Linked DNA regions of Notamacropus eugenii. The protein of the gene in region 3 purifies or fractionates together with the protein of the main gene of each other region. This does not show direct contact. Links are inferred from orthologs where the notes say so. Each region holds a gene or a part of one and is shown on either strand. Other genes may lie near its edges.

What was found. The genes of interacting proteins can lie anywhere in the genome.
Region 1: the proteins of PTPN6 (region 3) and CD22 purify together in Homo sapiens (affinity purification with western blotting; 5 studies listed by BioGRID and IntAct, with this or other methods). This does not show direct contact. The link is inferred for Notamacropus eugenii from reciprocal best matches to the Homo sapiens genes PTPN6 and CD22.
Region 2: the proteins of PTPN6 (region 3) and CD72 purify together in Homo sapiens (affinity purification with western blotting; 3 studies listed by BioGRID). This does not show direct contact. The link is inferred for Notamacropus eugenii from reciprocal best matches to the Homo sapiens genes PTPN6 and CD72.

The regions. Positions count from the first base shown.
Region 1 is NC_092876.1:32,628,803-32,639,748, forward strand, and holds the start of CD22 (B-cell receptor CD22), read left to right. Parts: upstream 1-5,861; 5' UTR 5,862-5,911; intron 5,912-7,210; 5' UTR 7,211-7,238; coding exon 7,239-7,272; intron 7,273-7,644; coding exon 7,645-8,010; intron 8,011-8,926; coding exon 8,927-9,235; intron 9,236-10,487; coding exon 10,488-10,751; intron 10,752-10,946. UniProt on the Homo sapiens protein: Most highly expressed siglec (sialic acid-binding immunoglobulin-like lectin) on B-cells that plays a role in various aspects of B-cell biology including differentiation, antigen presentation, and trafficking to bone marrow.
Region 2 is NC_092872.1:79,154,130-79,164,801, reverse strand, and holds the start of CD72 (B-cell differentiation antigen CD72), read left to right. Parts: upstream 1-5,587; 5' UTR 5,588-5,732; coding exon 5,733-5,814; intron 5,815-6,896; coding exon 6,897-7,004; intron 7,005-7,283; coding exon 7,284-7,358; intron 7,359-8,070; coding exon 8,071-8,160; intron 8,161-9,772; coding exon 9,773-10,123; intron 10,124-10,672. UniProt on the Homo sapiens protein: Co-receptor of B cell receptor (BCR) that plays both positive and negative roles on B-cell functions. Recognizes the Sm/ribonucleoprotein (RNP) self-antigen ligand, and coligation of CD72 and BCR inhibits BCR signaling.
Region 3 is NC_092874.1:195,339,973-195,350,723, forward strand, and holds the start of PTPN6 (tyrosine-protein phosphatase non-receptor type 6), read left to right. Parts: upstream 1-6,100; 5' UTR 6,101-6,123; coding exon 6,124-6,386; intron 6,387-6,544; coding exon 6,545-6,667; intron 6,668-6,915; coding exon 6,916-7,110; intron 7,111-9,590; coding exon 9,591-9,780; intron 9,781-10,402; coding exon 10,403-10,519; intron 10,520-10,661; coding exon 10,662-10,751. UniProt on the Homo sapiens protein: Tyrosine phosphatase enzyme that plays important roles in controlling immune signaling pathways and fundamental physiological processes such as hematopoiesis.

The DNA of each region.
Region 1 (10,946 bases), on a different chromosome or scaffold from region 3:
CATAGTATTAGGTTTCTTCAGTCGATTTAATCCTTTTTTTAAGGTGATCCTGATCCTCCTGGCTCTCTTCTCCTCACTCCTAATCCCTTCCTCTCATTTGATATTCCCCCTTCCTCTCCTTTCTTTCAGCTAGTCCTGTTCCTTAGGTTTTTTTAAAAAAAAATTTCACTTTTTTTGCTCGCCTTTCCAAAAATGATTTCTCTCACTCTATTCATTATCCATCTTCTCTTTCTGTCTACTGTAGACCCTCATTCTCTGATTCATGACTCTTATAATTATCTGATCTCTCTCTTCTCTGTATTCTTCATGCAACCAAAGCTTCCAAGGGATCCATTCTAGGTTCTGTCCTCCAGTCCCTTTCTGTCACTGCTTTATAGGACTTGACCTCCAAAGATTGTCTTTTCCCATTGTACTTCACTTCCAGAATGATGCTAGCAATTACAGGTGTCAGGGAGAGCACTGGCCCATGGTAGGACCCCTCCTCCACCGTATCCCTAGTTATGCAGCCCTCCCACTAATCTAAAGCCTCTTGTTGACCTTTTTCCTACATTTGCTCTGAAATTTCCTTCCTGTGTCCATGCTCTTTCCACTCTTCTAGATGCCAGCTGCCCCCAGGGGTTCCAAACTCTCTCCCTCCCAAGAAAAGTAGATTTCTCAAGTACCAAATCTCCCAGGTCTCATCTCTTTCACTGATCATCTCTCTTTACCCATAGGGGTATTCATCAGTGGGACTCCTCTCATCTCCAAAGTAAGGCCTCCTCTTCCATCCCCCTTTCAATCTTTCCCTTCTCCTTACCCATTCCCTTCTAGGCTCTTCTCTTTCTGGGACCATAGAAGTCACCTTCCACTCACTTCTAGCTCTGCATTTGATCCCAGTCATTTTTTTCTATCTCCCTGCTCTTCTCCTTCTGTTTTGTATCTTCTCATGTTGTAAGGTAGTCCCAAAGAGAAACATTCACCTGTAGGCAGGGTGACTCCAGGTTCTGTTCAAAATGCTCCCCTGTAGTCTTCTTCACTGTTATCTCTACCAGATTTCCATCTTCATCCCTGGCTCCTTGTATACATTTAGAAAGAAGTCTCTGTTGTCATTCATTGCAGTTGCTATCTGCATTTATTCACCCCTCCTGTATTTATGTTGTTTGAGGTGTCCAAGAGACAAATAATCTCTTTGGTTCTAGTTTTTTCTAAAAACATTTCCAACTTTTCTTATTATTGAGCATCCATCTTTTGTTTTGTGTTGTTAGGCTCAGATTTACAGGACAGAATACATTATTTCCTCCTTTTTCTAGTGGCTGAGAAATAGTCTTGCATTATTCAAATGTCCTTTCCTTTATATTTGAAGGTCTTTCTCCTGATGACTTGAAGAACTTGTTTCAGAATTGAATGGCTAAATTTAATCACTACATGTGATGTGCAGCCTTGAGTTCGGTGGCTTGTTTTTCTCTCCTGGAAGTAATCTGTGAATTCTTTCAATTGGAATTTCACTTTCTGTGTTTAGAAGTTCTGGGCAGTTTTCTTCTATTATTTCCTTCATGAGGGTGTTAAGGTTTTGTCTCCTGTTGTTTTTCTGGCTTGTGTCTTTGCCTCCTGTCTTTGGGTTTAATATATTTTACTTGCATTGTGAGCATATTTTCTCTTAACACTCTTGTTTTTTGTTTCTCTTTTTCTAGACTGTCTTTCACATCTGTATATTTGCATTCCCAATCTCTTGTTCTCTCTTTTGTTTCTTTTATGAGGCTTTCCACTGTAGATTTAAGTCTGTTCGTTATTTTTGCTGTGCAGGACACAAATTCTGCTCTCATAATTGTCACTTCTCTTTTAAACCATTCAGGAACAGTGAGTTGTGATTCCATGTTCTTCTCAACTTTCATGGGCTCTTCTGTCTCATCAAGTATTGGATCATCTTCCTTTATTTTGCAGAATTTATTCATACATACTTGAACTCATTTACTAGCTTTGGAGGCCATATTTCCTTCTGTTGTTAATGTTTGTCCCATTGATTTATCTGTTTATGTTCAAGGTCTTTAAGTTTTCTTCTTACTGAAATCTGTAGTACTTTCAGTCTTTTTTCCCCTTTATTTTCCTTATCATTCACTTCTTGGCTCTCTCCCCTCTGACCATAGGCCAGATGTCAAAGTGTCTTAACTTCTACCTATAATGGGCAATTCACATTTCAACAACATAAGCCCCTGGCCTAAATGACTTTTGAGTGGTCAGAACTAACCCTAGTTGGATGCTGTGCTCTCTCCTCAAGCTTGGTGGAGCACTGCACAGCTCCCCACATGCAAGGTGTCCTGTCCTGGTGACCTTTCTGCTCTCTCCATACCTCAGGTCTCTGGTCTGGAACTAGCAATTTAGAGTTTGTTTTCCCTGGCATTGTAAATTCAGAGTTTTGTAGCACCGGTACTCCAAGTTTGTAGACCCTAGTAGGCTTTTGCTCCTGAATGGGTGTGGCCAAGCTAACTGTTGAGGACAGAGCAAACTTCTGCAGCCAGAACCTGGGGTCTCCATAGTTCAGGAAAGAGGAAGGCGGGACCAGGGTGCGACAGTGGGTTTCGATGTAAGCCTGTACAGTGTCCTTGAGTCTGCTAGTGAAGTCTCATGACTAGTAGTGTGGGAGGCAAGGGTGGAGTACTACTGAGTGAATTCAGGGTCAGTGAGTCATCAGTTCCTCTCTCTCTCTCTCCCTCCCTCTGTCTCTCTCTCTGTATTCAACTTTCTTTTGAATTCTGTGTCTTAGAGATAGCTGAAGTTGCTTTATATTTGGCACATAATTTCTGTTTTGGAGAGGTCTGAGAAGGTATGTGGATCAGAGATAACGTCTTGTGTGCCATCTTGTTGCTTATGTGACCCCTGTTTAGTACTTAAAGTTCTTCATAACCTGGTCCCTTCCTCCCTTCACAGTTTTCTTACACCTTACTCTCCTCCACACAGTCTACATTCCAGCAACACTGGGCTACAGGTGAATCCCCAGTTCCTTGAATATAACACTCCATTGGGCTCTCTCTGCTTTTCCGATAGCTCCCACTCCTTGAATGGCATTCTCACCCTAGGCTTCTTAGGTGCCCTGATTTCCTTCAAAACTTAGTTCAAATCCCACTTGCTCTAGGAGACACTTCCCCGTTCCTCCTGCTACTGTTTTTCTGTTTCAGATGTCTTCCAGTACTCTGCATAAATCTTTTATGTGTTTTATAACTTCTGTCATTTGTAATATAGTTTATAATATATACATATTTATAATTATATAATTCATGTACTTGTTTACTTGTTGCTGTTCCCAGTAGAACGTAAGCTCTTTGTAGACAGGGGTTGTCTTTTTGCCTTTTTTGTATCCCCAAGGTTTAGCAAATCAAGTCATGATCTTAAATTCTCTCCACTTGATTTGTTTTTCAGGTCAGTTGTTTTTGATAGGAGATATCTTATACTTTCTAGTACTTTTTCAATCTCTTGACTTTGTTGCAATGTTTTTTGTCTCATGGAATCATTAACTACTTTTTGGCTCATTTCAATTTTCAGAGTCTGTTGTGTAGTTCAGGTTGTGTACCTCTTGTGCCAAGATGTTAATTCTCTTTCCAATTCTCATTTCTTTCCCAATCATTTCCCCTAGCACTCTCATTTCATTTAAAATCATGTTTAGCTTAAAAAAAAAACCCCCAAATCTCTTACTTCTCTTCTAGGAATTCTAGTTAAACTTTTGCTCTGCTCCTCCCATCAGAGTTCTAGGGATAACCCTAAGGGGCTGAGTTTTCTAGTACTGTTGCATAGAAGCCTCCAACAATGTGCTTCCCATTGATTGCTGATCAGAGCTAATTATCTTTTATAAAGGGTATTTACTAAACAGGTATAGCAAGCATAGTTGTCATAGAAACATCCTCCTTCCCTAACTGGGGCAAGCTCTGTCCATGCATTGCATACACAAGGTCGTTGGAAAGAGTGGATTCACACTTAAGAGCTCACTTGTAGTCAAAGGGAAAACTCCCAGCTCCAGGTTCCTGTCACTGTAGAGTTCTTATGAAGTTTTCCTTCTCTCTACTTGGCTCTGAGGGTCCTGGGACTGCCTTTCCTTAGTGCTTTGAGTTTGCCCTTGTCCAACGAAGGTTCTGCCTTCAGATTTTACTGCTGCCTGATGCCAGTGGGAATTCTTCTGACCTTTTGAGGTTCCCAAGGTCACTACCAGGCGGTCAGTGGTGTTGGGAAGGAGAAAACTCCCTCTTCCCTATTGCAAAGGGCAGTTCCCTCTCAAGTGTCCTTCATTTCTGGAATTGACCACCATCCAACTCCCTGCTTCTGGAATGCACAGTTCTGAACCAAACAGGGATATGTCTGATTCTTTCAGCCAATCACAAGATAATTTTTAAAAAATGTAGTATCATCTATCATCTTTATCCAATGATTAAAGCACTTCCCTCCTCCCAAATCAATTAAGGCTTTATTCACACCTAGTTACACTTTAAATAGATTCATTCAATCTATCTGTCTAGGATTTCCTGATTGACAGGGGTGGGAAAAAACATCTTACCTTACACTATGGTGATGCCCCAGGTGTCTGTAAAGTTTGAAGCTAGAAAAGTGAGAGAATCAAGCAAAAAGAGAGTCATGAAAATTCAAGAAGAAGATGGTGTCCAGGAAGAGGGAGAAGGATGGTCAGCAGTGGTCAAGGAGGATGAAACCAATCTCCCCAACCACTGGCTTCCCACTGCTTATCCCATCACAATTCCCATTCTCTTTCATTATTTCTTGGTAGCATTTGTGGGGAGGGGAAAATGAAAAGGAGCAGAAAAAAAGTAGGATCTGCATAACTTGACCTTAATTTGTCTCCACTTAGAAACACTGATCTGGGTGTTGATGAATGATGGGGTTTCTATTGTAAAAACTTTTTCTTCAAATTGCCCTCAGTACAAGATGTCCTCTCCATTTAGAAACTTTTGTTTCATGGTCAATGTGAAAATGAAAACCACCAACCACCAACCTCTCAGTTATCTTTTCAAATGGAGGAGACTGTCAGCATCTCAAAGCTAGGAGGGACACAAAGGCCATCCCATCCCTGACTGAGAATCCCTTCCATGTTCCCTCTGAAAAATGGCCATCCAGCCTTGGCTTGAAGGCCCAGAAGCCACTGCCAGCTGAAACAGTTCATTCTACTTCATTCTTTTTCTTTTTCTACTTTTTTTTTTTCTTTGTTCTGGGGATAATGGATACTTTTTAAATGGCAGATAATTAACAGTGGGGCCGCGAGGTGGCGCCATAGTGCATGAAGCCCTGGGCCTGGGGTCAGGAAGACTCACCTTCCAGAGTTCAAATCTGACACCCAACACTTACTAGCTATGTGATGATGAGCAAGTCACTTCATCCTGTTTGCTGCAGCTTCCTCATCTGTAAAATGAGCTGGAGAAGGAAATGGCAGACCACTCCAGTGTCTCTGCCAAGAAAACTCCAAACACAAAGAGTCGGACATGACCGAAATGGCTGAAGAACAACAAATCCACAATGTAATTTCTATTTGACTTCAGGGTTTTTAAAAACCACATTGGCCTTTGAAATTTGCTTGGTTTATAGATTGTATTGAAATGGATTTTAATTTCCTGAGTTGCACTGGTAGAGAGGGGAAGGCAGTGGCCAGAGGTAACTGAGCTGACATTAAACACATTTTGTCCTGTACAATCCATCAGCTGAATAACCAAGACCTGTATCTCAGTAAATTAGCTGTTCCTCTTCACCCCCACTTTCTTCTCTTCTCATTCCATTAAAACTTTCAGATTGGTTCTCAATTACCCCTAGCCCCTCAAGACAAGGGAGGAGACTGACTGAGTCACAGGTCAGGGCTAGATGTAAAAAGCAAAGAACTTCCTCTTTCTCACTGAGGCTGTTCTCACCCCCAAGGAGGGAGAAACGGAGGATGTACAAGAAGCAGGTAAAAAGGCACCCTATTCTTTCCTTATCTTACACCTTCCCTTCCTCTCTGGCCTCCTCCCAGACTTCCTCGTAGTCCTGTTCAAGTGCCAAGTGCCATTTTTGGTCAGCACTCACTCCCCTCTCCCTGATGCTACCCTGAAACTTTAACATGGACTACAACAAACCTTCCATGTGTGGGCTCTGATTTATCCCCAACTTCTGTCTCTTCTCCCCTGATCACTGTACTAAGGTGGGAGCACCCCTTAATGGTAGTTAGCCTGAGACTTTCTGGTCACCTCAAGCAAGGATACGTAGTCCACTGTCCTTCCTTCTCACCCTGGTGTCCTGAGCCAGGTTCCTGACCAGGGTAAGGCAGGGATCGACCTGACCCGGGGCTGAGGACTTTGGGGAGCTGGATGGCATTTGCTGGTTGAGGTTGGGTCTAATGATGGAGAACTATACTCATTACTGTGGTTCCGTGGTATGAACCACAGTAATGGCTTCTCAGCTTCAATCCACTGTGGGAGCCCTGGAGGCGGGAAGATTTGGTCACATCTAGCTTCTCTAGCCAATCTCCACTTCTAACTTTTTGAGTTCTGTTTATTCCAAAGCATAGCCTTGGCCCCCACAGCCTACTGGCCAGCTTTTAGCTTCTTATTTGTACCCATGCCGGCCTACTTTGCCTCAGTACCAGTCCCATACCAGCTCCTTTTTTTTTTTTTACAAGGTTTAGAAGGGGAACCACAGGGGGAAGGCAAAAAGGGTGGAGATGAGAGTGAATCTGATGTGACAGGAGACACACTCTATCAGCACATCCTGGTCATTCCCCAAGGGACCATGCTAAAGGCACCTGCCATGTAAATAGAGACAAATTTAACTTTATGCAAATGTTAATCATAATCAGGGACAAGAAAAGCAGTATGTGTGCATTCAGAAAGTGAAATAGATATTGGGGTGGGCCCTCCTCATCATGCTTTTACTCTCTCATCTCTTGAACTTTGTGAGTCAACACCTTAGAATGAGTGTTCCCTGTGCAGAATTCTAGACCGAAGGTCATGGGGGAGAGAGAAAACAAGAGAAGGAGTCTTCTCCCTGACTTCCAATCTCAAAGGAGAGACAAGATCTACAAACACAGCTATAAACAGGAATGCCCCCTCAAACATACCAAAGAGTGATGAACCCAGAGAGCCCCACAACCACAAATGAAAACAGTGGAGGAAAACGATGATCAGGAATGGATGGGAGTGACCAAGGAATGCATCCTGAACAAAATAAGTGACTTTCTTGACTGACCTGAGAACTGATTTTCCTTTTTCAGGAATTCTGACCAGGCCCGAGGTGGCATCATGAGCCTCCTTCACCTTTCTATTCTGGCTCTTGGTAAGGACTGTTGCCAGTACCTAGGGGTGGGAGTTGAGGAGGGAGGGAGGTTTTAGGTAAGAGGATGATGTGGAAATGGGGGTGGAAGAAGCTACCTTCATAGGAGAGTCCACAGGGAAACTGCTCTTAACTGTGTCTCTTGTGCTCTTCCTCTTTCTCCACGGGCTCTGCTTGGTTGTGCGTGTGTGTGTGTGCATGTGCATGTGTGTGTATGTGTGTGCGCACGGGTATGTGTTTTTCCCTCTTGGCCTAGTCTTTGTGTATACTATCTGTTTCATGGGTTTTCTGTCTCATTATCCCCCAAACAGAATCTGTTTTCTCTCTTGACCCCACTCCCTCCCTCTCTCTTCTGCCTGCCTTTTGGGGCCCCAGGATTCCTGGTTCTGGGTCTCTGTCATTGGGACGTCAAGCTACCAAAGGTCCTCCATGCTTGGGAAGGCACCTGTGTCCAGATCCCCTGCAGCTACAAGACCTCTAAGGGCACGGAAACACTAAAACAATATATCTTGTACCTCAATCCGGAGTATGTTGAGAAGAACAAGACGTTCCATGGGACCATCCTCTTTGACATGCTTGATTCTAATAAGAACAACAGGACACGGTTTCTGGGATACGATAGAAGACAGGACTGTAGCATGCTCATCCGTCCAGTGCAGGTCAACGACAGTGGGAAGCTGGGGCTGAGGATGACGACCCAGGATGACAAATGGATGGAAGAAACACAACTCAACATCACTGGTGAGGGGCCATGGGAAGGGGAAGAAGGGCATTCTCAGCAAGCCCAGGTACACTGCTCATGGCTCCTACTCTCTAAGCAAAGCATGCCAATATTTGCACAAAGCTGACTGGGCAAGCACGAGCTGTTTTGTGCTGGGCTCTGGCAAGGCGGCACAAAAGGAGATGACCTAGTTCCTGGTCTCAAGCAGCTGTGAGCCTGACAGGAGAGGAAGGTCCTCAGGCCTAGGGCAGTCCATGGTCTGATAGAGAACAGAGTCTTTGCCGTTGGAGAATTCTCATTTGGACAGATAAGTAAGGGTAGATAGAACATCCCACTCTAGAAAATGGGCATACTACTCATTCCAATTCAACAATCCTTTATTAAGCACTACTGTATGCCAGGCATTGTGCAAGAGGGACACAAAGAAAAAGTGAACATTCCCTGTCCTCAAGGATCTTCCATTCTGGAGTGATGGAAGGGCAGGAAGTAGAACATGGACAAAGATAAAAAAGCATTTCAAGAAGGGCCAAGGGAACCCCAACAGTTTGGGTTGGGGGAGTTCCTTGCACTACTACCCTGCCTCCTGGGGCTCTTGTGACCAAAGCGTCTTGTCAACTTTAATGGCATGATAGAAATGGGAAGTTTCTTTTCTTACTGTTACCCCACTTTATTACCACAGTTACAATGATTATTAGCACTACCTTTATTACTGACACTACTACCATTACTATGAATACTTACAAAGCAGCCTCTAAGAAGTGACTGCTTGTATGATGCAGAGGGGTGACTGGAGTCAGGTGGGAGTAATTGGGAAGCTGTCCAGAAGGAGATTCTGAGAGAAGCCCCAGGATGAAGGTCCCTTCTTCAAACCTCTCAGATTAGAGCTAAGAAACCTTCCTCCTCCCTTTCTAGACCCTCCTTCCTTTTCTCCCTCAGAGTCTGCACCTCAACCACACATTCAGCTCCCACAGCGGCTCCAAGAGTTCCAAAAAGTAACTGTGACCTGCTTCCTCAATTACTCCTGTTCTGAGTACCCTGTGAGCTTGCACTGGTTCCTGGAGGGGCAGCAGGTTCTACCGGGCCAGGTCGAGAACTCACAGTCCATGGAAATCCAAAGGGTTGTGACGGAGAGCAAATTCACATTTACTCCCAACTGGACTCATCATGGCAAGAGGCTGACTTGCCAGCTCTGGCACACTGATGTTCAGCATCTCTCTGAGAAGACTGTCTTGCTGGATGTGAAGCGTGAGTCTCCTCAAGTGGGTCCCCTGTTCCTTAACTGTGAAAGAGCTTTGCTATCACTTTCATCTCCATAATCCTAAATATCTTCATGCATGGCCTGCCCAGAGAGAAGGGTAAGAAAAGTGTCTATCACCTACCTCTAAGGATGAGCTACAGGCAATGGTGTATCTCGCCAGGGCTTCCTTCTGTCTTCCCCCTACCTCCTCCCCCTTCCCCATCACACAGTGGTGTCTAGGATGCTAGTCTATCTCTGTGGCTGAACTCAGAGATCAGAGCCTCATTTTAATATCAGCCCAAGGCTGATAGGCAAATAGACAATAGAGTACAATTCAGTTTAGGTCAGTCAGTATCTAAGCAGGTAAAGTTCCTCACCCTGGCCCTCCATCTCTCCTCCATCTGCATTTGCACCGACTGTCTCCTGGCTCCCTTCAAGTCTCTGCTAAAATCCTACCTCCAGTAACAGACCTTGTCTAGGCCAACCCAAATCTAGTGGGTTCCTGCTGAGATCATCTTCCATTCACCCCTTATATATTTATATGTGCACAATTGTTTGCCTGTGGTCTCCTCTGTTAGAACGTGATCAGCCTGAGGGTAGGGACTGTGGTTTTCCCTTTCTTTGTGCCCCTGGCACCCAGTACAGAGCCCAGCACATAGTAAGTGCTTGATAAATTGCATGTTAACATGCTTGAATCAACTGTCTGAGGAACGGAAATACAGATAAAGATAGGACAGAGTTCTTGCCCTCAAGATGCTTCCATTCTACTTGCATGATACAACATGTATACAAGGAAAAGTAAATCCAGGAGCAGGTGAGAGAACAGAGAATTGGCAACTGGGAGCCCCCAAGAAAGGCTTCCTCAAGGGGCTAATGCTTAAGCTGAGCCTTCCTTCCTGGAAGCTACAGGTTCTGAGGAGCAGCTTGGTCCAGGGAATCATGGCAGACTTGGAGGCAGTCAAGATCAGGGTTCAGTTCTTGATGCTGCTGCTGAATACCTGGGCTACTTCGGGCAAGCAGTTTCCTCTCTCTTAGCGTCAGTCTTCTTATCTGAAAAGTGAACTTAGATTTATAAACACACTTGAGAATCCTTTCAGGTGCCATACCCTCTCCATCCCTAAGTGACAAGTAACCATGTAGACTGGGTGGATCTCTCCTGTAGGGTTCTCAAATTGCAGACCTTTGAATCTTCCCCATAAATTCCTTCCCTCAATCTTTCTGATATTCTCTTTTCATTTGATTTACTTGCTGTCCTTCTAGATACCCCAAAGATAACCATTGAGGCAAGTCCCCACCTAGAAGTGAAGGAGGGAGAATCAGTGACTCTGAGGTGTTTGCTCCAAAGCAGTAACCCCACATTCCAAGGCAGCTTCTTCTGGTTCAAGGATGGAGAGGAAGTGCAGAATTGGAATGACATTCTGACTCTGTCCAACGTGAACTGGCAGCAGACTGGAAATTACTGTTGTGAGGCAAAGAATGAAATGGGCCGGGGGAGATCAGAACCCGTGCACCTGCAAGTCCTATGTGAGCTGATCATGGGGTTGGGGACTTAGCGAGGGATCAGAGAGTCTTTGGAGTAAGTTTGCAGAATGGAGGAGGGTCAGGAGCTTATTCATGATGGTTTATTGTTTTTTGTTTGCTTTTTTGGCTATGTGTGGGGGTGCTTGAGGGGGAGAGATGAAAAAATGGACCAGGACTAGAGCAAAAATGGGGGATTCT
Region 2 (10,672 bases), on a different chromosome or scaffold from region 3:
TTTTAATTTAATGTAATGTAATCGAAGTTATCTATTTTATGTTATCTAGTTATATTCTTTATCTCTTGTTTGGTCATAAATTCTTCCCTTCTCCATAGATATGAGAAATAAACTATTCCATGCTTTCCTAATTTGTTTGTGGCATCACCCTTTATGTACCCATGTACCCATTTTGACTTTTTCTTGTTATATGGTGAGATGTTGGTCTGTACTTAATTTCTACCAACCTGTTTTCTCAGCAGTATTTGTCAAATACTGAGTTTTTATTCCCAAAAGCTTGGATGTTTGGGTTTATCAAACACTAGATTACTATGGTTATTTACTACTGTGTCTTCTGGCCTAATCTAGTTAACTGATCCTCCAACTCATTACTAGCTAGTACCAGATCATTTCGATGGTTATTACTTTATAATATAGTTTGAGATCTGGCGTGTCTAGTCCACTTTCCTTCATATTTAAAAAAAATTAATTCCCTTCATATTCTTGACCTTTTATGCTTCCAGGTGAATTTTATTATTATTTTTTCCAACTCTATAAAACAATTTCTGGTAGTTTAGTTGGTATAATCAATAATATATATTCTATAATTATATATTTTTATTATATAATATAATTATATATAATATATACATATAAATTAATTTGAGTAGAATTGTCATTTTTATTGTATTGACTAGGCCAACCCATGAGCAATTAATATTTTTCCAATTGTTTAGATCTGATTTTATTTGTGTGAGAAATTTTTGTTTTGTAATTGTGTTCATGTAGTTTCTAGGTTTGTCTTGGCAGCTAGATTCCCCAGTATTTTATATTGTCTACAGTTATTTTAAAAGGAATTTTTCTTTCTATTTCTTGCTGCTGGACTTTGTCGGTAATATATAGAAATGCTGATGATTTATATAGGTTTATTTTATCGAGAGTCAAGGATGACAGGTTGCTAATCTAGGGAAACATAGTCACACAGACATGTGCTCCTATTATACATTCACCTACACATTCATATCCTCCAGTGTTCTGAGACCCTTAAAATGTTACTGTCACATCATATCCATATCTATAGTTGAGAGAAACCCTATCACAGAATCTCAGATTTCCAATCTAAGATGGAATCTCTACTCCATACCTCTCTGGAGTGTACTTGTGACTCTCTGGACTTCTTTCTCCACAAAGCTCCAGGGTCTCCCTTGCTCTGGAAGCTGCTTTGGCTGTTGTGCTCCTGTAGCCTTCTTGTCCTGGATGCTGCCTTTATCTCTGTACTCCATTAGCCTTCTCATATGGGAAAATCCCTCCACCCCCATGGTCCCTTCCTTGGAATGATTGTTTCCTCCTGAAACCTCCTTTTGAAGGCTAACCATGTTGATTCCTTCATTCCTCTCTGGGACCTATTCATGATATTCCAGACTTCTTCTTCCACCATTACGCCTTCCTCAATACATCCCGTTCCCTCCAATTTTCAGCTTTCTTTTATGTGTTGTTTTTTCCTTACTGAAATGTAAGTTTCTCATAGGTAGGGACTATCTTTCTTTTTGTCCCCTAATATCCCCACTGCTTAGTGCCAGAGTTAATGTAAGCTAGTTGAATTTACTTGGAGGGAACCGCCAATGTCATCCACTCCAACATATCCCTGAACAAAGTCCCCTTTTACAAAGTACTCTATGAAGGGTCAACTAGTCTTTGCTTGAAGACCTCCAGTAAAAGGGGAAACTGTTGCCCTCCCAGGTAAACCATTCCACTTCTGGATAGTTTTAATTGTTGGGAAACTTTTTCTTCCTTCAAGCCTAAATTTGCCCATTTGCCATTTTGACCCATGAAGAACCAAACAGAATAAGTGATAACTCCTTTATATCCTCTAAAGATAGCCTCTTCCGAGGTCTTCACTTTACAGGGACAATGACAATCCACCGAATTGTAACTACTGATGGTGTCTGTGGTCCTGATAAGGACAATGAATGGTGAGATAACCTTAGCAACCCCCAGAGATATTATCTCCTCTGCTTGAGTTGGAGAAATATGCTACTTTTCTAACTGAGCAGCACCTTTAAGATCTACCTCTCTCTCCTCCCCACATGGGGGGAGAAATCTAAGCAGAAAAGCCCTTTTCTGCTCCCATAGTCAGAAGCTCCTCATGCCAATCACTCTACATCCAATGAACAGCCTCCCTTTTGCTGTTTTGTTAATTATGGTATAGTTCCCCTTTATATAAGAGAAATTATATAGCCATTAACCCTTGTTGCATATCTATGTAAGCAATGCAGATGGAGGTAGGTGGGGGAAACCAGTTAGTCTGAGAAAAGTGGGAGGTAACCCAATTAATAAATGGTCAAAGGATATGAACAGACAGTTTTCAGAGGAAGAAATTAAAGATATCTATAATCATATGAAAAAATGCTCTAAATCACTTTTGATTAGAGAGATGCAAATCAAAACAACTCTGAGGTACCACATCACACCTATAAGATTGGCAAACATGACAGAATAAGAAAATGATAAATGCTGGAGAGGATGTGGGAGAGTTGGAACACTAATTCATTGTTGGTGGAGCTGTGAGCTCATCACCATTCCGGAGAGCGGTTTGGAACTATGCCCAAAGAGCTACAAAAATGTGCATACCCTTTGACCCAGCAATATCGCTGCTAGGACTGTATCCCCAAGAGATCGTAAAAATGGGAAAGGTCCCACATGTACAAAAATATTTATAGCAGCTCTCTTTGTGGTGGGCAAAAACTGGAAATCGAGGGGATGCCCATCCATTGGAGAATGGCTGAATAAATTATGGTATATGAATGTAATGGAGTACTATTGTGCTATAAGAAATGATGAACAAGAAGACTTCAGGGAGGCTGGAAGGACGTATATGATCTGATGCTGAGTGAAAGGAGCAGAATCAAGAGAACTCTGTGCACAGCTATGACCACAGTGTGGGAGAGTTTTTTCTGGTAGAGTTGGAATTTTGTAATAACGCAAGAACTTATTAAAAAAAAAATCCCAATGGTGGTTTTCTAAGGCAAAACGCCTTCCATACTCAGAGAAAGAAAAATGGAAGTCATTTGCAGAATGTAGCAGATCATGTTTGTGTGTATGTGTATGTGTGTTTGTGTATCATGTTTTGATTTGTTATACGATTTCTTCCATTTATTTTAGTCTGACTACATAGCATGACTATAGTGAAAATGTACTCAATAGGAAAGTATATGTAGAATCTATACAGAATTGTATGGTGTCGTGGGGAGGGAGGGGGGTAGTGGGGGGTAGGTGTAGGGGGGATAAAATCTTAATTTTATGGCAGTGATTGTAAAACATTAAAGAAATAATAATAAAATTAAATTTAAAAAAAGTGGGAGGTAAGTCCAGCCTCTAGTGAGAAGCCAGTGGAGAGGCAGGAAAGCAATGGTTTCTAGTGTCCCATCCACAGGTAACAAATCTTTTGGAGCACTCCATGACCACATCCATTGGTCAGCTTGAAGTGACATACAGGAGTGTAAATAGAAAGAGATTATAACCAGAAGAGAATTTTTTAATGCACACACTCTAGACTAGAGGATAAGCTCCGTGGGGCAGATATGAGTCATCCTAGGATGGAGCAGGGAGAAAGATTTGTCTTCCCTAGGGATTACATGATTCCTTCTGGATTCCTTTATTGGTATGCTCATTGCCCCACATCCCATCTCTCCTTTCAGCCCCTTACTGGTAGGTAGGTAAGGATGTTTACAGAGGGTGGGACTCCCCTGACTCCCTCACTCATTACTGTCCTATTTACATACCTACACCAGTGTCTTCTTAAACATGTTTCACTCTATTCCATATAGGGACATCTTGTCCCCTCCACCCTACCCCACCCCCACCATGTTACATGTGGAGGCTACCATTCCCCAGAGTGATATCATTCTCCCAAGGGAGATGAGATCCAAAGCCTTTTTATATGTAGGGGCAAACCTTATTGCTTTGTGTATATTTAGACATGGACAAAGTCTAATACATTATACACACACACACACACACACACACACACACACACACACACACACACACACACTCAGAGGCATTTATCAGGACCTGTCAAAGTCCCATGCATGATTGGTCACTTGTTAAAATGTTGTTTAGATGTGATCATGATCTCTTTCCTCTTCCTTCTCCCTCTCCACAGCTGCATGAAGGGTGGAGCCTAGGGGATGGGGGTGGGGGACAACCCAATAAGGGGGTGGGGTTTTTCCCATCGCTGACCCCCTGTTACCCCACTTCTGTATCTCTGTCTCTGTGACTATATTCTCACTTTCAGAAACAAACCGTTGAGGCTGTTTTCACATCCCTTTTATCCCCATTCCCATGACTGACAGTCCCCTCCACTTCTTAGGTACACAATTTCTTCCACTCCAGGGGTTATTCTCCAATAGAATATAGGCTCCTTGAAGGGAGGAAATAATTATTTTTTTCTCTGTTTTCTCAGTACCTAGCAGATCACCTGGGATTTAATAGGTTTTTAATAAAGTTTTATGGTTGATTGATTAGTCTTGAGAACCTGGAGTAGGACACTTGGGGGCCAATTCTAGCATCCTGAACCTCTTTTGGATAGAGGGTAGTGAAGTGACAGGACCAGAGCAGCAACTTTAAGTGAGAATATCAATTTCATTACCTACAAAATGAAAGTGTTAGTCTAGAAATGATCTTTAAATTCCGGTCTATCTCTGACTGTCAATAGACCATTCATGCATGACCGAAATGGGAGATGGGGAAGGAAAGAACCCTAAGCAGGATTGCTAGAGGGGGACGACTTGGTCCTTGGTCCTCTGAGTCCTTGCAAGGTGCCAAATACCTGGAGGATTCTAGTCTCACATCCCTGAGAATCTGACCTGGGAGACTGCATGTGCTGGGTGTTGGCAAACACAGAACTACCATTACAGTCAGTAAACCAATATCTTTGATTAAGCACCTTCTGCATACATAATCCTGTGGGAGGAGTCATAATGAAAAATGGGAAATATGGTTCCCAACTTTGAGGAAAATCTTGTTCTGATAACACCATCCTAGGAAATTAAGTGGGGGGAAGAGTCTCCCTCTTTGGAAGTTGGCTTGGAAAGACACAGACATTTCCCTGGGGACCCTCAAGTCTGATGACATGGTCCCTATAACTACCCATAGACTGAGTCTGTCTATATGCTGGGGAGACAGATTAGAGTCCCTAAGTGCTCAGAAAATACAGAGTAAGAGGCATTGGTGGGCAGGGGTGGGTGTGGATATGGGTGGTCAGAGTAGGACAGAATGAAGTTAATCAGGGAAGGCTTCCTGGAAGCTTGTTCCCATCTCTAAGCCTCAGTTTCCCCTTCCCCTGCCTCTGGTCCCTCTGAACCTGCTCCTTCCCCTGAGCCTCAATTTTTCCATCCCCTGTGCTCTCCCTTCCTATCACTAACCCTACCCTGTTTCTATTTCTGAGCTGACCCCAGTTTTTGCTTTACTGACTCCAGCTGGGGGGATGGGGGTGGTAATTTCTAATATCTTCCTCTTTTGTGACTAAAAATCATCTGGTAAAGAACTGTGCAGTGTGACATGCTCTCAACAGGGAGTGGGCAGAGAGCCTCAGAGGGACTGAGGGCAGGAGACATAAAGGGGGCAAGGAAGGAGGGGGATCAGATAAGGAGAAGGGGGCACACAGAAAAAGGGAGACAGAGAAGAAGGGAAAAAAGGGAAGAGAGGGAGGGACAGGCTTGGAGGGGAGGGACAGTAAGGAACTCAGGACCATGGCTGAATCTATCACCTATGCAGATCTTCGCTTTGTGAAATCCCCTCTGAAGAAGACCCTTTCGGCTAGGCTGAAGCAGGGTAAGAGTCCTTGGAATTTCTCAACCTTAACACAGCCTTGATACTATCCCCTGCTCTGATCTCCATCCTCCTGGTATTCTCCCCTCTCTGAAGCTGACTCCTTTTATGCCCCATCTCTTCTGAACCCACTCCCCTATAGTCAGTTTCCCTTCACTAACTCCATTTCCCAATACTTCATGCCCCTTCACTTATACCATCTCCCTATAGTTCATCATCCTTTCCTGACACCATTTTCCTATAGTCCATCCTCCTTCACATAGTTAATCTTCCATTATCTCCTTGTAATCCATAAATGTTTATTGATTGATTGATCATCCTTTTCTGATTGGGCATTTCTCCCTGTGCCCCGCCCTGGTCACTGACTTATGCCTCCTACCCAACACATACACTGATGAATCTATTTCTTCAGTGACCAGACTCTCCTATGCTGACACCACACACTGTTTACTAACTGATGCCCCCACACTGACTCTGCCTCATTGTCAGCGATTTTTCCCATATGCTATCCTCACTTTTCTAACCCATCTCCCACCCCTATGCCATTGCCTCATCTTTTTAATGACTAATTACCCTTCCTGTGCTGGTCCCATCCCCTAAATCTTACTATTGACCCCTTGGGGCAGCTAGGTGGTGCAGTGGATTAGAGCACCAGTGCAGGAGTCAGGATGGACCTGAGTTCAAATCTCACCTCAGACACTTGACACTCACTAGCTGTGTGACCTTGGGCAAGTCACTTAACCCCAATTGCCTCATCCTGGGTCATCTCCAGTCATCCTGAGGAATATCTGCTCACTGGATTTAATAATTTAATGATTAAATTTAATAATTTAATTTTAAACTGGATGGCGCTGGAGGAGAAGTGAGGCTGGTGACCTGCACAGCCCTCCCTCACTCAAAACAAAGTCAAGTACAAGTCATGTCATCATATCTCTGATGACATGGTCTTCTTTGGCAATGAAGGATGAACATACACACTATTGACCCCATTATCATCATTGATCAACACTCCTCAATGACTAACCCCCTTATACTGACCCCATGCCTAATTAACCATTTCCTCATCTCTCTCCCCCCTCTTCCAGACCCTGAGGTGGATGAGGATGGAGAGCTCACCTATGAAAATGTGCAGGTGCCTTCAGCCAAGGATGGCTTCTCTAGCCCCACTCAGCCTGGACTTGGGGGACAAACAGGTAGGTGTTCCAGAAGATTCTGAAGGGACTGCTTATTGAGAACATGTAGGGTTAGAGTGGAGGAGTGTTAGGGTGTCCCTAGGGATTTTAGGGAGAGGGGAGAAGAGAGAGGATCCTGGGTATACCTGGGGAAGATGGAGTTAGGGCCAAGGGAGATGGACATGTCCCTGAGGAAATGAGACTACCCAGGGAGGTGGTTAGAGAGATGAGGGAGATTCAGAAATAGAGGGATAGCCATGGTGGGATACTTTGAAGATGAATTTACCCTTCTATTCCCAGGAGGGGAAAAAACAGAAAAGACAGTGACTGCACCTTATTCAGTGACATCACCAATTGCCAGGAGGATTCTGCCCTGTAAGTAATAATCACCAAGCACTTTGGGGCCGGTCTGAGTCTGGGGGTGGGAGCACTTTGGGGCAGGGAAATCCTGAAACACATAGAATTGGGGCAGGGGAAGAAGAGGAGATGCCTTTAAGAGAAAGAAAAAGGCAGGAAAAGAAAGGAAGATCGATGACTAAAAACACAGGCCATTGGACCTCAGGAGAGGATTTCTAGGACTGAGTAGTTAGTAGTACTCTGGGGCCATCCTTAGGGTATGAGCAGTTGGAACACACACCCCAGACTGCCCTCTAGCAGAGCTGGACTAGAGTATGGAGCACTGCAATGGCCAGGGGAAGAAAGATGGAGGAGAGGATCCTTCGATGCCCAGTACTAGGTGGGAATAGATGATGAAAAGGAGAAAAAGCCTAGTACAGATGATCCCTGTTGTCCTGGGGGTGAAAATTCAGTCACATAATGACCCCCTCTTATAAGAGCACCTACCCTACCTTCGTCCTGATCCTATCATCCTTTCCCTTAAACACCTTCCCTCCCTACAATGCCCACCAAACCAGTACCTTAACCCAATCCCCTTCTTATAAAGGGCTTTACCACATACCCTTATTATCCCTATAAGGTTTCCCTCCTTATAACTGACCCCTTCTAAAACTATCCCTTTTTTTCCTGTAAACCTCCACACCCTCCCCAAACACAGACTGGCCTACTATACCAACTTTTCTCTCCTCAGGCCCTGTGGCCTGGATACCATACATTCTCCTGAGCCTGCTAGGTACCTGTTTGCTGTTGGGGGTTGCTACTATCAGCCTGGGCATTCAGTGTGAGTATGGTCCTCTCTTGTAGCGTATGTTTAAAATAGTAAATTCTTTTCCCCCAATTATCAAGCATTCTTTTTTTCTCCCTCCCTTTTCTCTTCCCCTAACCCCCATCAAACAAAACAAAATAAAACCCTGAAACATATATACATAACCAAGCAAGATAAATTCTCATATTGGCTATGTCCAAAAATATATGTCTCATTCTCCATCACGAGTCCATTCCCTCTCACCGTTCTTCTTCATTAGTCTCTGGAATCAGACTTGATCATTTCATTGATCAGAGCTCTTAGTCATTGCAAAATTGTTTTTACAGTGTTATTGCTATAAATTTTTCTCCTGGTTTTATTCACTCCCCCCCCCCCGGTGACTTATTTTAATAGTCACCCTGAATGGGGATGGTTTGGGAAGGGATGTAAAACCTCTCGTTTCCCTATCTCTAGTCCTTTTCTGCCTCTCCGGAGATATATCCCTCTGCCAGAATCACCAACCACCTCTCGCTTACATTCCTGAGAGAACTTCGAAAGTTGTTCCTGGTTCATATAATGAATAAGCTTACAAGTAGCCAGTATACAGTGGTAATAGTAGTAAGTAAGATTACGAAGGGGAACCTGGAAGTCATGTACAGATTGTCCCAATGATCAAAGGAGCATGATTTGTAAACCGTATCATACATTAACTAACAATCACATGCTAGGAATATGTGCTAAATCAGGGCTTTGCGGGGCCTTTGAGTTCTATGATGTGTTAGTCTCCGATAAGTTCTAGACATCTCCACTAAGACAATAGTGCTGATAATTTTGCAAAGGTGTGGATATGTTAACGTTAAAGTTTTAACGACAACTTTGAGGTGATTTGGATATGTTAATGAACTAACTTCAAAGTGGCACAGGTATGAGAGTCTATCTCCCCCCACAAAATCTATAAAAATGGTACCTCAAACTCCTCTCTCCCCTCCACCAAGCATTTTTCCATCTCCATTGAGTCCATGCTACCTAGAGCTCTTACCTTGAATCCATGGTGATGTAAATTACTCTGTGACTTTTCCCCTCCCCATTCTCTTCTTTCTGCTATCTGCCTTTACATCCTCTCCTCTGATTTTTTCATCACTCTGTACTTTCTATGCCATTTTTCCCTATGTCTTCTGTGCCTTATTAAAGTGTGATTGCAGCCTTACTTCCCACTGCCACTGTGGTCTTTCCTGGTGTGTACCCAAAGAACCAGGTGTGCCTGCCCCATTTTATAATTCCATAAGTTCATTAGCAATTGATTTATGAAGGCAGGGGCCATGCCTTGGCTAAACCTTGTACATTCCTCAGCATCTAGCATGGTACTCTATATATAGCAGGTGCCTTATGAATGTCTATTGTGGGAGTGGTCCCTATAGCTCTGTGCTTTCCTAGATCCACCTCCTTCTTCAGCCTTTAGCTCCTTAAACCCTCATGATTAAACCCACAAGAACTTCATAACCCAATTTTGGTGAGACAAGCAGCTGAAAGAGGGAAGTTGTCTTGAAGTTTGCAAGAAACAGGTAGAGAAAAATGATAAATACCTATAAGGTTGTAGAAACCATGAACTCAACTTTTCTCACCCTCCCTGCTTTTCTGTGTCCAAAAGATATGCAGATATCTCACCAGCTTAGAAACACCAAACAGGTCCTGGAGGTCAGCAATGGTAGCCTATGGCAGCAGCTCCAAATGGGGGCTATCCAGTTGTCAAGGAAGGAAAAGGATCTGCAGGCTGCTTGGGAGAAGCTGGCCCAGTCCCAGCAGAACCTGAAGGTAGAAAAGGAACAGCACCAGGCTGCTGAGGGCTACCTGCTGACCTGCAGGTCGGAAAGGAATAAGACAGAACTGAACCTGAAGGACAATATGGAGGAGAAGAGAAACCTGGAAGAAAAACTGAAAACCTTGCAGAATGAGCTGAAGAAAGTTCAGACCCTTTTCAGGTGTCCATTCCGAAGTAACGGTATGAAGTTTGGTGGATGGGTAGGGAAAGGGAGGTTGGTGGTGGAGCTGATAAGGGACCAGCAAGACAACTGTGGAGAACATGTGGGGAGACAAAAGTATGGTGTAATGATAAAAAAAGTAGATTAGAAGTTAGAATAACTCTTTAACCTCAACCTCGAAATAATCTTTGATATTTCCCTATCCATTCATTTAATATCTGAGCATGTTGTATGCAAGATCCCATGCTAAGTACTGGGGGGAACATCAAGATGCATGACATAGTCTTTGCCCTTCTAAGAGTTTAAAGTTTAGGGGGAGTGAGAAAAAGAGCAAGTAGATGGATTACTTAGTACAGGGCAGAATGTTAACAAATGTCACATGGGTGGAATAGACTGGTGCCATCTGGCTGGCAACCAGCCCCTCAACCTTGGTGATTCTTTCTTTGCCCTCTCCCTGGACTTTTCCTTGTCTTTACCACTCTCACTGATTGGACCTTGAAGGATGTGTAAGATTTAGACGGTCATAAAGGAAAGGAAGGGTTTTCCATCCAGGATATATGGAGATTAGA
Region 3 (10,751 bases):
CTAACTGATTCCTGGACACCTCCACCTGAACTGTCCCCTAAACTAGCTTCCTCTTTTGGTCATTCCACGCATCTCCTCTGGGCCTGGAATGCAGTGACACTAACTCCTTTCAGTGTCTGTTTTAAAAAATCAACAAACACTTATTAAGCACCTAATTAAATGCATAGCACATTATAAGTGCTGGAAGAAGTCTGTAAAAATATAAAAATGTTACCAAGAAGAACTTGGCCTGAAGGAACCTAGAAAAGTCTATAAATTCTTCACATTTCTCCACTGTCTCCCAAGATCAGAACAAGATCAGATGACCCACTATCATTCAGTTCCTTGTTCTCTCATGATTATATTCAAACAATTTCCCTGCCTTCAGTCTTTTTTTCTCTTTTTAGAGAGCCAGCTATGGGAGATAGCGCTTCAGAACCAGTCAGGAAAGTCTGAGTTCAAATGTGACCTCGGGCTATGAGATCCTAGGCAAGTCACTTCACCTCTGTTTGTCTTAGTTTCATCTTCTGTAAAATGGGTATATAATAGCAGCGTCTACCTCACAGTGCTGTGGTGAGAATCAAATGAGATACTGGTAAAGGGCCAGCATGTAGTGGGCACTAGATAAATACTTATTCCCTCTCCCCTTATGCATCCTATATACACAGTTACCTACTCCACCTTCTGAAATAATTGCTTTGTGGATATTTTCTTCCTCCCCTCAAAAATCTTTGTTGACACTGTATATTTCCTACAGAATCACCAGTCAATAAGCATTTAATTACTTTCCCAGTGTAAGGGAATTTAACCTAGGGTCCCTGAACTTTAAAAAAAATCATTTTGAGTAACTATACTTCTTTTGTAATTTTATATATTTTATATTTTTAAAAACGTTCTTCTGAGGAGTCCAGAGTTTCCATAAATTAGCCAAAGGACTCTAGAGGCTGGAGATGCAAAGACAGAAGGAACAGAAGTTCCGACTCAAAGATCCTGTTTTATTAGAGGAAACAACTTAGAGACATATGTAAAATACATTCAAATTAAACCTAATTTCCCTTTCTTCCCCCAAGGAGTTAGTTCTAGCAACTAGGGTGGGGGAGATCAGGAAAGAACCCCATTTTGAGCTGATCTCTGAAGGGAATTATGAATTGTAAGAGATGGAGGTGAGAAAGTGTATCCCAGACCCCAAGATGGGAGACGAAATGTAATGAGTTAAATGTGAAGAGTAAAAAGTCTAGTTTGACTGGACTGGAAGAGTGTGTTAAGAAGAGTCATGTGTGAGGAGCTTGGATGAGTAGGCTAGAGACGGGTTTATACTTGAGTAATTTACTTTTGATCTATTTACATTGGATTGTGGAGGCAGTAGGGAGTCATGGATGCTTTTTGGGCAGGAAATTATATTTTCTACAATTTGGCCCCTACTTGCCTGATGGACTATAAATGTTGCATAACCTCAACTGGGCCCTCACTGCAGAAAGGCAATCCTTTTATGATTTCCCTAATCAATTCACTTTTCCACTCACTCCCTGGACTGTTCCAAAGCTTGTCATCCCTCTTCAAGTCTCTTGCCACACTCCTCTCCTCTCCTCAGCTCATATTTCATATTACCTCATATTTCACCAAAAAAAAAAAATTGAGACCATTCACTAATCCCCTCGTCATCTCTGATCACTAAGGCATCTCCCCCCACTATCTCCTCTTTCACCACTAGCATGAAGAGACAGCCCTTCTCGTCAAGGATGACCCTCTACATGTGTCCTTGACACCATCCCCTCTGGTCTTCTCTAGCAGATTGTTCCCACAATCATCCCCAGTATCTTTCTAATCGTCACAGTTCCCCTTTCTATTTACTGGCCATTCACCACTGTCTTCAAATATGGACATGTCTCCCTTATCCTTAAAAAAAAAATCTTCACTTGATATGACCATCCCTGGTAGCAATAGTCCCATATCTCTCCTCCCCTTCTTAACCAAAGCCTCCACTTCTCCACTCATTTCTAAACTCTCTGCATATCTCACTTTAGATCTCATCATTCAGTGAAACTACTCTCTCCAACATTACCAAAGATTGCTTAACTGCCCAATCTAATGGCCTTTTCTCAATCCTCATCCTTCTTGACCACTCTACCCTCTTTAATACTGCCAAACACCCTCCTGGATTCTCAATTCTCTCTAGTTTTTTATACACTCCCCTTTCCTGGATCTCCTCCCCACCTTTCTGACCAATCCTCAGTCTCCTTTGTTGGATCTTTACAAATATCCTTTATTTATTTTATAAATAAAAAGTATTTCCCCAATCTTCTTTCCTGGGCCCATTCACTTTGTGTTCTCATCACTTATCATCTCCATAGAGATGATTACCAGATTTATTTATCTAGCCCTAATCTCTTTCTTGAGCTCCAGTCTTGAATCACTCACTAACTGCCTTTTGGACAGTGCTTCAGTCCTGCGTCTCCAACTAACAACCCAAATAGAAGATGTCTGAAACACAACTTAATTGTTTTTCCCTTTTCCCAACTTTCTTATTTCTGTGAAAGGTATCACCATTCTATCACTCAGGTTTGACACCTTGATGTCATTCTCAACTTCTTCCTATCATCCAAATATCCAATATGTCAAATTGTGTCATTTCTACCTTTACAAGACTTCTTATCTACATTCCTTTCTCCTCATTCTCACAGTTATCTCCCTAGTTTTGGCACTCATCACTTCTTGCCTCGACTGTTGGTATTTTTTTTCAATTAATAAGCATTTATTTTTATTGAAAGGGAAAGAAAAAGAAAACCCTTGTTATGAATATGCATAGTTAAGCAAAACAAATTCCTTTGTTGGTCATGTAAAAAAAAAAAATGCTTCATTCTTCATTTTGAGTCCATCACCTCTCTGTTGGGAGATGAGAAGCATGTTTGGTTCTCTGGAATCATGGATAGTGATTGAGTTGGTTGGTGTTCTTAAATCCTTCCAAGTTGTCTTGAAAGTCTTGTTTTTATAAATATTTTTCTCCTGATTCTTCCTCACTTTGTTCTGCATCAATTCATATGTCTTTCCAGGTTCATACAGGTCTATCCCTTTCATTATTTTTCATGGCAAAATAGTATTCTTACATTCATATACTGTAATATGTTTAAGCTATTCCCCAATCGATGAGTTCCTTTTAATTTTCAGCTCTTTGCTATTACAAAAAGAACTGCTAAAAATATTTTTGTGCGTATGGGTCCTTTTTTTTTTAGGCTATAATCAATTGCAATTTTTAAAATTTTATAGATAATTTTACTTTTACATCTCTTTGATTTCTTTTTTAAGATTTATTTCATTTTTAATTTATGGAATAAAACCAATATTTCCATGGTATAGTATAATAAAAAAATGATTACGCATGAAACTGCAAATTACTATATATAACTTGCTGTACCTTTTAAATATACAACAAAGTTATCATCTAAATTTCTTTTTTTCCTCTTTTTTCTTCCCTCCTTCCCCCAGAGATGATCACTCTGTGTGTGTGTGTATGTGTGTGTGTGTGTGTGTGTGTGTGTGTGTGTGTGTGTGTGTGGTGTGTGGTGTGTATATAATTATTCTATGCATACTTCTGGGGGCCATCTCCTGTTGTCCTTATCTATATCTGGCCTTTGGACCCAGATGGTTCCAGAGGAGAAAGTGAGGCTGGTGACTTTGAACAGTCCTCCCTCCCTTAAATCTAATTCACTTTCAAGTCATAGCATCACCTCCTTGATGTCATGGTCCCCTTCGAGAATGAAGTACAAACAACGTTCAGTTCTTTCTCTGGATGTGGACTATGTCTTCCTTCATCCTTTATAGTTAATATGAGTATTTATAATGATAGAATGACTGATTTGCTCAGTCATTCTTAAAACAATACTGCTGTTGCTGTATGTAATGTTCTCTTGGTCCTGCTCATTTGGACATAAGTCTTATAGTATTAGCTCTGGGTCAAAAGGTGCGTACAGTTAGTAACTTTTGGGCAGAGTTCCAGATTGCTTTCCAGAATTTGCCTGGACTCTTTACAATGGAATTCTAATAGGTCTTCCTGCTTCAAGTCCCACTCCAAACCATCCTCCCAAAGTGATTTCCCTAAAGTTCACATCTTATCATATCATCCCCACCTCCCACCCTCAGTCAATAAACTCCAGTGGCTCCCTATTACCTCCAGGATCAAGTATAAATAAAATCCTCCCTTTCAGCCTTTAGAATTCTTTATAACTGGTTGCCTTTCTACCTTCTTAACGCTTTTTACTAACTCTGTGAACTCTTTGTTTTTTCTTGAACTCTCTTTTTTTGGTTTGTCTTTGCCCCTATTGTCAACCTGCCTAGAAAGCTCTCCTACTTTACTTCTACCTTTTATTCCCTGGCTTACTTTAGGTCTCTGCTTATATCCCACTTTTTTTTTTTTTATGTCCCACCTTTTACCAAAGGCCTTTGCAGGCTCCTCAGCTATTGGCCTCTTTCCCTCTGAGGTTACCTGACATCTGCCTTGAATGTACATGCTGGGTTTCCATGTTGTCCAGAATGTGAACTCCATGAAGACAGTCATTTTGCCTTTCTTTGTATCTGGGCCTTAGCACTACACAATAAGCACTTAACACATGCTTATTGACTGGGAAGTTGTTAGCATCAGGAGGTAGTTCAGGTCTATATATAGTAGCAGGTGCTCCACAAATGTTTGGCAATGGGGATGGGGATATTGGTGTAGATATCTGAGTATTGTATGTGAATTTCTGTGTGTGCTCCCAGCCTGCCTCTTTTCTCACCAGGAAGAACCTAGTCCTTCAAAGTCAACACTTCCCTTCCCTTTCCTTCCCTTTCTGTCCTTAAGCAATGGAGAGCCTTTGGTGTCCTGTCCCAATCTCCTTGGCCTGCCTGTCTCCCTGTAACCTGAGATGCTCTGGGTCAATTTCTCTCCCAGACTGGAGTCCCCTTGATAGTGGTGGGAATTATGTTTTCCTAACCATTTGGTGATTGGCCATATCCTTCCCATAGTCCTAAGAGTTCCAGGACAGGGGGCCAGGGTGAGGAGGGAGAACCTAGTCTGGATGTGAGGATTATATATCATATCACTCATCCAGCTCCTTCATCTTGTAGGTAAGGAGAGTGAGTCCCAGAGAGGCAAGTCCCAGTAAGTAACAGTAAGTAGCCTTGCCTAAGGTAGGGAAGGAAGGAAGGAAGGAAGGAAAGAAAGAAGTTGGCGGTAAAAGCTAGAATTTGAACCCAGATTTCTTGGTTCCAAAGCTAGAGCTCTATTTCACTGGGTTGCTTTGGGAAGAATGACTGGCAGAAATTAAAATAAGTAATTAAAATGACTGTTAACCTTTGGGAGCCCCCAAACTTTGTTCTTCTCCTGTAGAGGTTCTTGGGCTTCCAACCATCTTCTCTCTGGCAGCACAGAGAGCCCTTTAGGGAGAGGATGCCAAGCTAGAAGGCTGGAGAAACAATTAGGCCCCCCCACCCCCTGGCAGACTGGAGGCAGGTGGCCCAGAAACTGGAGACAGGGAAGGCAGGGTTCTAGGGTTCTGTGACTTACCTGGCCCTCTGTTCCAAAGCTTCCCTTCTCTTGGAGTCTTCTAGCCTGGCCTATAGGTGAGGAGCACACCAGCGCTCTACCCCAAAGACTACCAGGGGTCATCCTCTCCACTTTTTCTCCTTCCATTCTTTGGTGCTTTTCTCCTTGTCAAACACTATTCTCAGGCCCTGCCCCGGGATATCCTCTTCTCTCCCCTGCTCTATCACGCCCCTGCTTCTCTGTTCCCTAGGGAGTTGGAGCCTAGGTTACCTTCTGGCATGACCTTTTATCCAGTGGACTCTCTTTCTTTTTCCAAGCTTGGGCTGGGACCGGGTTCACCCCATAGAAGCAATTAAGATGGAGGAGAATTTGTCAGGAGGGGAGGAGAAAAGTGTTAGAAGTCATAGATGAATTCATCTTCTCTACATATGAGCATGCTCCTGCGTGGGAGGTTTTGTGTGTGTGTGTGTGTGTGTGTGTGTGTGTGTGTGTGTGTGTGTGTGTGTGTGATCTTTGTGACCAGGTATGCGCATAAGTCTGTCTTTATGTTTCTGTTGCTGTCACACACATGTGTATATATGCGCACGACATGCTTCGTGTGTTAAGAAATTATACGCTCCTGTGAGATGGGTCCCAGCACCACCACCATAAGGCTCTGCTTTCTCAGCTTGTCTACAAAAGCAGAAGTAGAAGCAAGTTCCCCCTGGGGGGTCTGGCCTCGCCCCTTCCTGTCCCCGCCTCCCCCCCTCAGCTGCCCTGGACTGGTGGTGCTTCTGGGAGCTAGGGGCCAGTGCAAGGAGGGACTGGGCTCTGTCCTGGGCCCTGTTTATACTGTCCTCCCTCCTCACTCGTCAGCCTACCCTGCAGGAAGACTTCCCAGGATGGTGAGGTAAGGACCGAGGGTGCAGGATGCTGGGGGGAGGAGCTGGTTCAGGGGAGCAGGTGCTCTCTTGTATCTAGAAAAGGGAGACTGAGTCTTGGGCTCTGGACAGCACCTGTCCTGGCCTCTGGTGGCCCTAGTCCCCAGCTGCAGCTTCTCTTCCACAGGTGGTTTCACCGAGATCTCAGCGGGCTGGATGCTGAGACTCTGCTGAAGGGCCGTGGGGTCCATGGGAGTTTCTTGGCCCGGCCCAGTCGAAAGAACCAAGGGGACTTTTCCCTCTCAGTCAGGTTGGTGACTTTCTTCCTTTTTCTCTGGTGACTCTGCCTGTGCCCTTCATTCCTTGGCTTTGTCTCCTCCAGACTACCTCCCCAGTCCTGTGTGATGACCCTTAGCGCTCCCATGAATCAAAGCCTCAGACCTCCACACTGCTCCCTGCTCCCTGCCTGAACCCTCTGGTTTTGTTCTAGCCTTGTGCCTTCTTTTCCCCTTTCCTTTTCTGCTCCCATTTTCACTATTCCTAGTTTGTGTCCCACAGGGTAGGAGACCAAGTGACCCACATCCGCATCCAGAATTCAGGGGATTTCTATGATCTCTATGGAGGAGAGAAGTTTGCTACATTGACAGAACTGGTGGAATATTACACTCAACAGCAAGGCGTCCTACAGGACCGTGATGGCACCATTATCCACCTCAAATACCCACTCAACTGCTCTGACCCCACCAGCGAGAGGTGAGGCAACCCTCCCCCAACTCCTTAACCCCACTCAGAGGGGAGGTTAGCCTTGACCCTGGACTCTTAATAAGGGTCTTCAACCTAAGGAGAGGTGAGCGTAATAGTAACATCAGGAATGCAAGAATCCCTTCTACAACAGATGAAGGCATTCCATTGATGGACAGCTCTGGTTCTTTCTAGAAAGTTCTTTTTCTTTTGGGCCAAAATCCACCTTGTAGTTTCCATCTATTACTGTTCTTTCTGTGATCTGAATCTACATGAAATACATTTATTTTTTTTCCCACATGACAGCATCTTCTCCTTTAGCCTTCTGTTCTCTGGCCTAAATATCCCCAGTTACATTAGTCTTTAGTCATCCGACATGGTTTGCAGACCATTTTTATCATTGCCCCTTATGAAATGTGGCTCCTAGAGCTGAGTGCCAGATGTGGCCTGACCAGAGGAACTACCTCCTCCCTCAGTCTGAACACTGTACTTCTGTTAATTTTGCATTAGATTTTCAAAAACAGTGTTTTGGTCACTGGAAGTCTTTGAGGAAGACCAGATGACCATTTGTTGGGTATATTGTAGAAAGCATTTGTGTTTAGTTATTGGTTGGACTAGAAAACCTCTCATATCCTTTCCAAAACTAAGATTTCATGATTCTGACACTAAGTGTGCAATCAACTGAAATATCTTTTCAGTTCTTTTCACATTAACTTCTGCTAAACCATGTTGGCCTGTCCTGTTCTTGTGCACCTAGTTGGTCAGTGCATATTGAATCCTGTTCATACTAACTGTTCATGTCAGTTCTTATGATATTATATATTATCATATATTTTTATCAACTAGCTAAGTTGATAAGCTAAGCCACTATTCCAAGTCACTGATTTAAAATATTGACCATGATAGGGTTAAGAACAGTCCTAGAGAATGCATATAGCTATTCTCACTACTTTTTAGGAAGTTTCAGACTTAGTACCCAACCTCAACTTTCTCCTCCTTCCTTGGTAATTCCATGGTGTCCCCTCTCTGCTGCTTCACCTACCATGTTCCTTCAGTCCTTCTTCCCATCCCAATCTAAGATCTACTCAGGACACAGGGGCTGAGGGAGTCATGAAGGCCAGAAGCAGTGGGTGATATGGAGGGACTATAGAGAGAAGAGTTTGAGTCAGTCATGGGAATGATAGTGGCAGATTGACTGGGGTCAAAGGATGCAAGAAAGGGAATTAAAAAAAACCAGTAGAGCCATGGATTGGGGGATAGTGAAGGCACTGGTTTTTAATAAAGACCAAACCAAGGGAGACCTTCTAAGAGATGATTGTGAGTGGTTGGTCACGCCCTCCCCATTTCCCCAACGGGTATGTCTGAATTGTCCCGAGGAGTACTCTGTACTCTCTGTGTAGAAAAAGAAATTCACCCCAACAAACCTTCCTTGTTATCCTTCCCTTTCCCTTTCCTTTCTCTTCGAAGTAGTTTCCCTGGGGAATTTGCATCTGTTCCCTCTGTACTTGATTACTAGCCTGTGGGCAAGTCAGTATTTGCATGGACTTTCCTCCTCTGGTTGTTGGAGGTTGGGGACCAGACTTTAGAGCCCCTTCCTTTTCAGTCTGGAGGACCAGGCCTACTTCTGGAGTAGAGTTCTCTTGGCTTAATAGTAGGGTTAGGTGCTGGAGACTGGAAAGAAAACCTTTGGGTCCTTAGGTCAGTGGTCACTGAAGCCTTGGCCTTCTCTGCACAAGCATTGAAAAAATTAAGTTCTTTTTCTTACTGTCTGTCCTACCCTCCCCCTCCTACCTCATCATCCCTGCGGTTGGAAAATCTCTACCCCCCCTCAACCCCCAGGCTGAAGAAACCTCACTTCTCACTCTCTCCCCAAAGGGAGCTTTTTTGCTTTTTCCATCACGTGTTTTCCTGTGGGGCTGGGCAGCCCTGGGGTTAACTGTTTCCTCTAGGGAACAGGTTGGGAGGGGGGAGAGTTGGGGGGATGTTGGGGAAAGGTTCCAGTTCTGCTTTCTGTCCTGACCTCTCAACCCTGCAGCACCCAATCTTTCCTCTCCACTGTGATGGGATTTTGGGGTCCTTCATGTTACCCCCCTCCGTTCTTAGCAACAGCCTCCCCTGGGCTGTCTCCCAGGACTTTCTTTCTCATGTGACTTCCTGTCTTTCCTAATCTCTGTTTATTTGACAGAGACTACTATGAGTTTGGCACACAGAAAATGCTTAATAAGAGGCATTTATTAAGTTGTTGAATCTACTGCTTCTGCCTGTAGATTCACTGTTAGCCTGCTTCCCACCATCTCTATTTCAGCCTTCGTGTCCTCATCTCTGTTTCCTAATCTGGTGTTTTCTCTGTCTCTGAGTTTCTCCTTGGTCTTAGTCTCACCCAGTTTTTGTCTTCTTGACTCTTTTCCTTTCTCTGGGTCTGAGTTTCCCTTTTTTTCAAACCCATTTCTCCCCCCAAGGCTCTGCTGCTCTCTCTTATTCTATCCCATCAGGTGGTACCATGGCCACATGTCTGGGGCCCAGGCTGAGACGCTACTTCAGGCCAAAGGTGAACCCTGGACGTTTCTGGTTCGTGAGAGTCTGAGTCAACCTGGTGATTTTGTGCTGTCTGTACTCAGTGACCAGCCCAAGGCTGGGCTGGGCTCCCCACTCAGGGTCACTCATATCAAAGTGATGTGTGAGGTGAGATGAACATAGTGGCAGGGAGGGGATGAGAGTTGGCAACTGGGCAAATGGAAGATGATTAGGGATAGCCGCTACACAGCACGAGGGGCCCATCCCCAGGGTACCAGGTGGTTGGTCAGAGATCCCCATATTCTCATCTAGAAAGAGTATGATTTACCTTGCCATACAAGAAAATAGAGGAGAAGGGCATAAGAGAAGGGGAGAGGGGTTGTGATAGAAGGGAGGGCAGATTGGGGGAAGGGGTAATCAGAATGCATGCTGTCTTGGAGTGGAGGAGGGGAGAGATGGGGAGAAAATTTGGAATCTTGTGGAAGTGAATGTTGAAAACGAAAAACAAATTGATTAGTAGAAAAAGTATGAAGGGTGATGTGGTCTCAAAAAACCATCAGGAAAATTCTATGTCTTACCCCCAGGGTGTTGCCACCCTGATTAAAGAGGAAATGGGGAGGTGGGGGGATTAGATTTCAGGATTTTTACTAGGGGTCAGGGAGATGAGGAGGAGATCAAGGAGAAGGCTTGCCGTTATAGGCTGAGCTTGGAGAGGTCTTGGTACTTTCTCTGTCTTCCTTCTCTCTTCCTCTCATTTCCCATTGTCACACCTTTGACTTTGGTCTCTCAGTCTGGCCGTTACACAGTAGGTGGTTCTGAGACCTTTGACAGCCTCACAGACCTGGTGGAACATTTTAGGAAGACAGGAATTGAGGAGGCTTCTGGTGCCTTTGTCTACCTGCGGCAGGTGAGCAGAGGGCTCTCCCCTTGTCTGTTCCTCCCCTCCCCTCTGATTCCTGACACCTCAGCTCTGGCTCAAGTCTCTGAATTCCCTGACTCACGATCACTCTTCCTCCCCTCTGTCCAATGATCTTCTGACATCTCCCCAGCCATACTATGCCACAAGAGTGAACGCAGCCGACATAGAGAACCGAGTCTTGGAATTGAACAAGAAGCAGCAGGCAGAAGAGACATCCAAG